Xenopus tropicalis: one gene and its partner. The protein of the gene in region 1 binds, or shares a complex with, the protein of each later gene. Links are inferred from orthologs where the notes say so. Each region holds a gene or a part of one and is shown on either strand. Other genes may lie near its edges. The genes, in order: eif3d and eif3l.

The links.
Region 2: eif3d (region 1) and eif3l share a complex: the UniProt entries of both Homo sapiens proteins name them as parts of the eukaryotic translation initiation factor 3 (eIF-3) complex. The link is inferred for Xenopus tropicalis from reciprocal best matches to the Homo sapiens genes EIF3D and EIF3L.

What each region holds. Positions count from the first base shown.
Region 1 is NC_030680.2:123,532,575-123,536,397, reverse strand, and holds part of eif3d (eukaryotic translation initiation factor 3 subunit D), read right to left. Parts: intron 3,790-3,823; 5' UTR 3,780-3,789; coding exon 3,657-3,779; intron 2,273-3,656; coding exon 2,227-2,272; intron 998-2,226; coding exon 861-997; intron 612-860; coding exon 526-611; intron 449-525; coding exon 376-448; intron 292-375; coding exon 170-291; intron 1-169. UniProt on the Homo sapiens protein: mRNA cap-binding component of the eukaryotic translation initiation factor 3 (eIF-3) complex, a complex required for several steps in the initiation of protein synthesis of a specialized repertoire of mRNAs.
Region 2 is NC_030680.2:122,081,171-122,085,606, forward strand, and holds the start of eif3l (eukaryotic translation initiation factor 3 subunit L), read left to right. Parts: upstream 1-1,486; 5' UTR 1,487-1,543; coding exon 1,544-1,570; intron 1,571-3,196; coding exon 3,197-3,245; intron 3,246-4,436. UniProt on the Homo sapiens protein: Component of the eukaryotic translation initiation factor 3 (eIF-3) complex, which is required for several steps in the initiation of protein synthesis.

The DNA of each region.
Region 1 (3,823 bases):
TTCGAAAAATGAAAACCCAATTAATACAAATCCAGCAAAAAAGATAAGTTGCAAAGCTGCTTAGGATACTGCCATCTAAAAGACACTACAATTAAAATAAAATTCCCTGTTAATGACAGGTTTGTTGAAAGAAAAGTGAGGCAAGGAATAAATCACAGTCATCACTCACATGTCTAATGGATCAGACACCTCCATGTATCGCATTTTCATCAGCCGTGGGAAGTCCATCTCCTCCTTTACCTCCCAGTCACTCCGCACCTCTACAGAGGAATCACGAGGTTTCAACTGGGCCTGCAAAAAAGGAATACGCTATGTGAAGCATACAAAGGTAACTAAAAGCCCCTAAGAGAAAACAAGCACTGCTGTGGCAAGTACCTGAGATTTCTGATCCCACTTCTGACGTACACCAAACTGTTTCTGGAATTTCTTCTGAAGTCTTAGGCGATCCCTGAAATTAGAATTCTCATGTCACACCGTAGGATGTAGAAGCTAAAAATGACAGCATGTAGCCAAAAAGTCACTTACCTCTCTTTCTGCTTGGCGCTCTTAGGCAGTGTCTGCATGTTAAATTGCAGCATATTCCGCCTGTCTTTGTCCCGACGGAGATTCCTCTGCAAGAATGGAAGACAGTATATAAAATATAATCTCCAGCATGAAGTGCTTATGTAATCATGCCCCTAAAGGTGTTTATATGTCTGATAGCATGCTACTAATACCCTGTGTGTGTCACAGTATAGTAATCATATTAGCACAGGCCCATCAGGCCTTCAACATGGTTTTGCAGATGCCAAATATTATAAAGTAACACAAATCAGTTTACTGCCACAAGCATAACAATTAACTTAATCCTCCCTAATTACCTGTGCAAATCGCAGCCTGTTCCTTTGGTATGCAGTCTTCTGCATCTTTGTGGTATCCACGAGCTGAAAGCTTGTTTCATCCTCATCATGGAAATATGCATACTGGCTGCCACCTCCAAACTGGGAAGAGTATTTATCTAGGAATGAAAAAGAATCAAGATTAAGCAAGAATAAAAACTGGCACAATGCAGAGGTGGGAAGGAAGAAATATTCTTTAGAAATTATAAAAAAGAAATTAAATTAAAGGGTAAATGACACCAATAATTTTTGTGAAGTCTTGGATCACCTTCAGCCAATTCCTTTAACCCATAGGTGGCTGCCTTTATAACCAATTCCTGACAAAGCCCAGTTTCAGCAAGTCCAGTCTCCAAAAAGAGTAACTGGCTTTGCAAACAACAGTTCTTTAATATCAAAGAACCAGGTATTCGTGGGAAAAAACAGATCAATAAAAATCAGCCAGGAGCAGCACATCTTCTTAGTACACTGACAATCTAGTTTGAGTTGCCCAGGACCATCCAGTCCCGACAATCTCTGAATACAGACACCAGCATACAGATAGTTCCCTGTCAAAAATGACAGGTGTATCATCTCCATTAAATACTTTTTATTCTATCCCCACTGGATGATGATTTGGTCTATAAAAAAAACCAACTGCGATTGGGTGAGATTAGAACATGAAGTTAAACATCCTTGATGTCCTTATGTAGATGTTTAGGATCTTGAGGTCTAAGGCCAGAAAATGTGGTCCATCATTTTTGGCACATTAATGACATCTGAATATTAACTAAAGAATATCTTGGCATAATGGGAGCTTTGACCAAGGCTCCAGTTCCCTAGGAGGAGATGCCTCACTTAAAAATCAAAGCCAATTAAAAGGACTGATAGACCAGTGATCCCACATCTCCTGTGGACAGCAGCAATAAAAAAAAAAAAATAAAAAACCTGAACACACAAATACAGTGGTCAACTTACACCTCTGGGCAAACCCTACAAACGCAACATTTTCTGGCAAATAAAATTTACAAGAGATTGATACAGTTTTAAAGTTCATAAATCAATATGACTGAGTTGATTTGATTCTAGCCCACTTCTTCTGAACTTCACTGAAGTTACAGCATTGGCAATGATCTCTGTGTATACACTTTGTCCTTTCCTGCCATAAGCAGTGCTGAACTGCAGTGAAGCTGAATCGCTAGTACTGCTCAAATGGATTGTAACTCAGGCACAGCAAATAAGAAACCACCTGCTTGCAGCACACTGCATAATCATAAGAAGTCAAGAAATGTTTAAAGAAAGTGGGAGAAAAGCTCTAAGCTTGGCTTATCAGCAAGCACACAGTTAAGATATGGGAAAGTAGCACACTTACTGGTATATCTCTTGTCCTGATATGTGGCCCCAGTCCAGTCTGCAACCTTATCAGTGAAAACAAGAAATACTCATGAGCCTTAGAGAGAAAGACATGCACATCATGGGAGCAATTTGTTTTCATGTTCTTTCATTTGTTCAGCACAGTCAATTATTTACCTTATGAACAGATTGCAAGCTCTATAAGGCTAATGTAAGGCTACCTTCCTTGCACACAAGTCTGCCAGTGGAAAAACAAGACCAATACCATCCAAAATCACCAGTACAGACTACGGCTGATTTGGCAGCTGCATGTCATGAAGGCAGGTTTCAGGCTGAAACCCAACCTATTTTAATCAGTGACAGGCAGTTTGCTTTAATGGCCATTGCAGTCTTTACCAGTGGTATGAAATTGTAGTGGCATTTCTTTTGCAGTTGTGTGCAACATTAGCCTAAAGAGTAAATATTAGCATTTTATATCTTTTGAGTATTCATTTTATGATGTTCTGTTAGCAACTCTAACAGGAAGGAGTGTGGGAGTAAAAGAAAAATTGGCTAGTGTAACATGTAGCATGTATGTCTGCCCGCCCTTGGTTTGTATGTGAGCGCAGTCCCTCATATAAGCCAGAAGGCAGACTTCAGTACTTGACATGGCAGTTTTTTTTTTTATTTGGGATTACCCAATGGCACATAGTGTCAAAGTATATTTCTCATGAAAAGGCTTTATTTATATGAAACAGTATTTTACATATGGATGGTTTTATGGGATATAGTTTTGTAGTGACCAACATTGTTTGGTGTTATAGTTTCCCTTTAAAGGGGCGGTTAACTTTTAGTATGTTAGAATTGCCTTTTCTAAGCAACTTTTCAATTGGTCTTCATTAATTATTTCTTATAGTTTTTGATCTATGTGCCTTTATCTTCTAACCCTTTGCAGCTTTCAAATGGGGGTAACTGACCCCAGCAGCCAAAAAAATATTGTTCAGTGAGGCTACAGTTTTTTTTTTATTGTTACTTATTATTATTTACATTTATTTATAAAGCGCCAACATATTCCGCAGCGCTGTACAATAAGTGGGTTTCATACATTGGACATACAGAGTAACATAAAAAGCAATCAATAACAGATACTTTTTATAACTTATACTTTTGTTTTTCTATTCGGGTCCTCTCCTATTCATTTAGCCTCCTAGCTGCTAAGGTAATTTGGACCCTAGCAACCAGATAGCTGCTGAAACTCCAGAGCTGCTGAACAAAAAGTCAAATAACTACAAATAAAAAATGCAGACCAATTGCAAATTGTCTCAGAATATTACTCTCTACATTATACTAAAAGTTAGCTCAAAGGTGAACAACCCCTTTAATCAAAAACCCACCCCAGAGAATAGAGACTGACACACTAGGTTCCCATCTCACACAAATTAATATTTATAAGATAAGAATAAAACGTACCTTGCCCAGTCGGTCTCCTTTGCTGAAGGGCTGGTATGGCATATCTTTAAACTGATCGGGTACAGCGCATGGGCCCCATCCCAATGGGTTGTCGTTTATTACTGGAGCCTGAAACTTTGCCATGTTGTGAGGCCTGGAGGAAGGAGAATGTCACTGATTAAGTTACT
Region 2 (4,436 bases), about 1.5 Mb from region 1:
ACAATGTTCATATTACTAATGTTTATGTGGACCCAAAACAATTTCATTGTATGTTCCTGTAACTGCATATGAACTGACTGTGCAGTTCCCAATATTTTTCTCTTAATAAATCAGCTTCTTTCACTTTCCTTTATCTCCTTTGCACTGCTTTATGTGGGGAGACCAGGGTAACACATATCTATGGTGGCCACCTGGCCAGTAAAAAATGATGCCAATGTTATGAAAGGGTATCTATCACATACAAGTAACAGAGCCCACACTACAGATGGGGAAAATAAGTGACCCCCTCCCCCCCAAGCACTTGGTGGAAGCTCCCAGTGTGTATGGCCATGTTGGGGTAGATGCATATCTCCTATCTGTCTTAATTTTTATGGGACAGTCACAGTTAAGCACACAGCCTGCTGTCCTGGACTGTATTCTTATTCCCACACCTTGTGTCTCAACCCTTTCTCCTTGTAGATTGTTAGCTCTTTTGGGCAGAGCTCTCTTCACCTCTTGTATCGGTTATTGATTGCTTTATATGTTACTCTGTATGTCCAATGTATGAAACCCACTTATTGTACAGTGCTGCGGAATATGTTGGCGCTTTATAAATAAATGTTAATAATAATAAATTGTGCCACATGTCATGGCCAGCTATCAGCTCCCTGCTCTTCTAAACAAAATCCAAGATGCTTTGCCACTGTGGAATGCACCATTGTGGATTTTTTTTTCACAGTGGTTTAATAATCAGGAAGAGGGAGGCTGAAGAGTTATCTTACTGGCACATCTAGGGTTAATATGCACATTACCCATACCCACATCTGGGGTGTGTTTTGGTAAAATGGGTGTGTTTGCTTATGTGCATGTCCACAAAGTGAACAAAAAAATATTCCCAGCTTGGTCATAATTCACGTTTGTGACACAGGATCTGGGAATGGTTCAATAAATCCTATATCACACATATTTGTATAATACTAATACTTGTGTTAGCATAATATAGTTTCAGCTGTGTTGCTATAATTAAAAGAGAAACCCACAGATATTTTTTATATAAATTGAAAATAAAAGCAGTATTTGTTTGTCCCTCTCTGCACTGCTCGTTCAGACTCTTGGAACAGTAAAGGAAAAGCCCTGCTTCTTGAGCATGTCATTAAAAATGGCAGAAATGTAGCCCCAGTCTATAGGTTGTGCTGCTTCTTTGGAAGCATAATGTTTGTTTGTGACACATTGCTGTAGTTACCAGGCCAAGCTGAACACAAACAATTGCCACAAACCAAGGGCCTGTGGCTGCTGGGTGCCAAGTATAGGTGGCATAAAGAAGAACAGTTTTATGACGGTGTGCCTCCCTTCCACACAGAATATACCAGTTATAATTACAAGATCTCACTACATTTACTTTAGTAAGCGCGCGCTTCTCCAGCGCCATCTCTCGGCAGCGCTCATTAGTACGCCATGACGTTTTAGAAAGGCGCCGGAAGTCTCCCTTTTCTCTTCCTGTTTAAGTGTGTAGTGTGCGCTCCGCGGGTGCCGGTGTTCGGTGTCCTGTTCGCACGATATAACCATGTCCTACGCCAACGAAGAGTTTGAAGTGAGTAGCGTTGGCCTTTTGGCCCTGATTGCTTTGGGGTGCGGTGCATTGCACTATAGCTAGAGACGTTGCTGTGGGATATGATAGTTAGGGTTATAGGACTTCAATCCCTTGTGTTAAAAGAACAATGCCATAGTAATAATATGCACGTTATCTTTATTTGAGATTTTGTAATATGGCAGATTAGTTCTGAGGCTTCATGTTTGGTGGCAAGGTGGGACTATAAAATAAAGACGTGTGTTAGTGCTGAATCCCCTCCCTGCTATATATTCACATTAACGAATACCGGTTTTGCCACCCTTGTTAACACTGTCAGTAAGCCTAGTAGCCAGGTCAGTAATATACTGGCCAGATAGCAACTGTGAGCCTACATAGTGGGTTCCTGCTGTACACATGTATATATCAGAGCAGTAACACTTGTCTGTACTGCCCAGCCAGTCTAATGTATCACAAGCTGGCCCTGACTGCTAGTTATGGCTCTGTCCAACAGTATAGTGGCTTGCAATCTAACATGGGGCAGACTAGCTCCTTTGGCTTTCCCACTATCCTAGTGTAACCCCTTTTTGGCTATAATTAGACAAACTACGGCTATGGACAGAGCATGGGGTACATTGGGACTCTCAAAGGAATGGGCCTTCGCTATGTGAAAGGAATTGGGATGAACGGTGTTGTTGTACTACAACTCCCACTGGTACTGTGTAGTTTGTTAGTTCAAATTTAGAAAATGGATGCCAGGAGCTCTTGCAATCAAACTGTTAACTCTCTATTGTCCAAGACAGATGTTATAAGCACAGGGCTCAATCAATACTCAGAGACATGTAGATATAACAGAACCCACTGAGGATAGTAAAGGAGGGTACCACCGGTTTATCCCACCTCTTGGTAGAGTCTGGGCAGGGTAAAGTACCTGTCAGCTTGGCACCACTTTGGAAGGCAGTCTGGATAGTGAAGTCAATCCCCAGGTTGATAACCTTTAACTCTTGTGGGTCCTATGGCTGGGCAGAGATCAGGGTTTATACTAACCTGTATCCTGTCACTAGTCCGTGGCCCTAAGCTAAGGCAATATTGCCTAGTGGAGGAAATACTCCCAGGGCTGTCTTCTAGTTGGGGGCTGAGCTGCCCTTACTATATAGATCTAACTGAGCTCACTCCTCCTAGAGGATGCTATCACAAGAACTGCTATTCTGTCTACACCTCGTTCACGGGGCCCTGTCCCCGACTTCTCCAGATAGGATGTTGGTATCTGGGGTGATAATGGCTGTGCTGGGGCCTGTTGCTGTGCCCAGGCTCAGTGGAGCTGTTGTTGGATGACAGACAGAGAGCCAAAGAGGAAGCCACACCTCCTTGCTAGACACTATATGAGGCTACAAGGGGTGTGGACAACCATATGGGCCAATAAAGGATAAGATATACCTGTAAAATGTTACAAAGGCTTCTGCCCAGGGATATGTGAAGAGGTAGGGATATCACTCCATAGGGCATTTAACCCTATGGGTCCCTACACTAGCTTATTTCAATTTGCTATTTGTGACATAACTTGCATCTGTAAAAGTGCTTCAGCCTAACACAGATCGGCCAATTTATACTATCATCTTGCTCCATACTAACATTTTTATTTCTTTACAGGGTTCTTATGATCCATACAATTACCAGGCAGATTATGATATGCATACTGGTAGGTACATTTTTTGCACCTAGATTTATACATTTACTCTTTTTTTTCTTATTAAATATAGTTTTTGTAATTCTATGTTGTCATGCTATTGCAGTGAAATAGTTTTTTTTTTTTTGTGATTACAGACATCAGGCTTATTTGCAAAGTGATTCAAAGTGCAAGATGCACTTTTTTTGACACAAATATCATGCAACTACCATGGTTTTTTTAATCTATGATGCATTGTTTATTTTCCCTTTAAATTCTATTTTCATCCACTGCACCCATTAGGATGCACGCCCCACAATTTGGAAGCAATTTACTATCTGGTTTGACAGATTTGGCTGCAAGCTACAGTGACCATTTGGGACGGACATTATTCCTTCACTTCTGGCACATTGGTACTGGCTTATAAAGCCAACCCACTAGGGGAGGAAACCTTTTGTAAAGAGTGTTAAAGTGATACTGACATGAAAAAAAAACTACTTTTCAAAATATTAATGTTCATAAAAAGTAATATGTCATGTTGATCCTTTTTTACAGATAGGTTTGCATCTGTTAATAATTGTCACTTGAAGTTCCTAAACCTGACTTTTTTGCTAACCTGACTGTCTCTTCTCAGTCTGTCGGTTAAAGATTCTAGGCCTACTGCTGCACAAATATGGCAGCCCCTTCATAAAAGAACATAGGGGATCAGATAGGTAATGTGAAAGCATTGCGAAAATACCTTTATGTCAAAAATTCGAAGCTCAGGCAAAGATAATGTTATGATATATTAAAACAGCTTAATTTCTGGTGTCAGTTTTTCTTTATTGTGTGCTTAATTTTGTGTCCAAACTAGCACTTGCACTGTAAATGAGCCCTAGTAAAGGAGAAGAAAAGACTAATAAAGTGTTAATCTCACGCTGCAGGCATACCTTCAGTTTTCTCAATAGTGCCCTTAAGTCTCCCCATTTTTCGCCTGTTCAGATAATCAGAAACCTCATAGAAAAAAAAAAAAAAACCAGCTGAGCTCTGTAAACAAAATTCCCATAATGCCATGCTCCTGCACCAAGACCACTGTACATGTGCAGTTTGTAAGACTATCTTAAGACTATGAGGAAGCTTCCTGACCTTTCTGATAAAGCTTACTTAGTTTTTACCTTTCCTTCTCCTTTAACGTTTACTGAATATCCAGATAAGGGTAGAAACACACAAAACAAATACATAAAG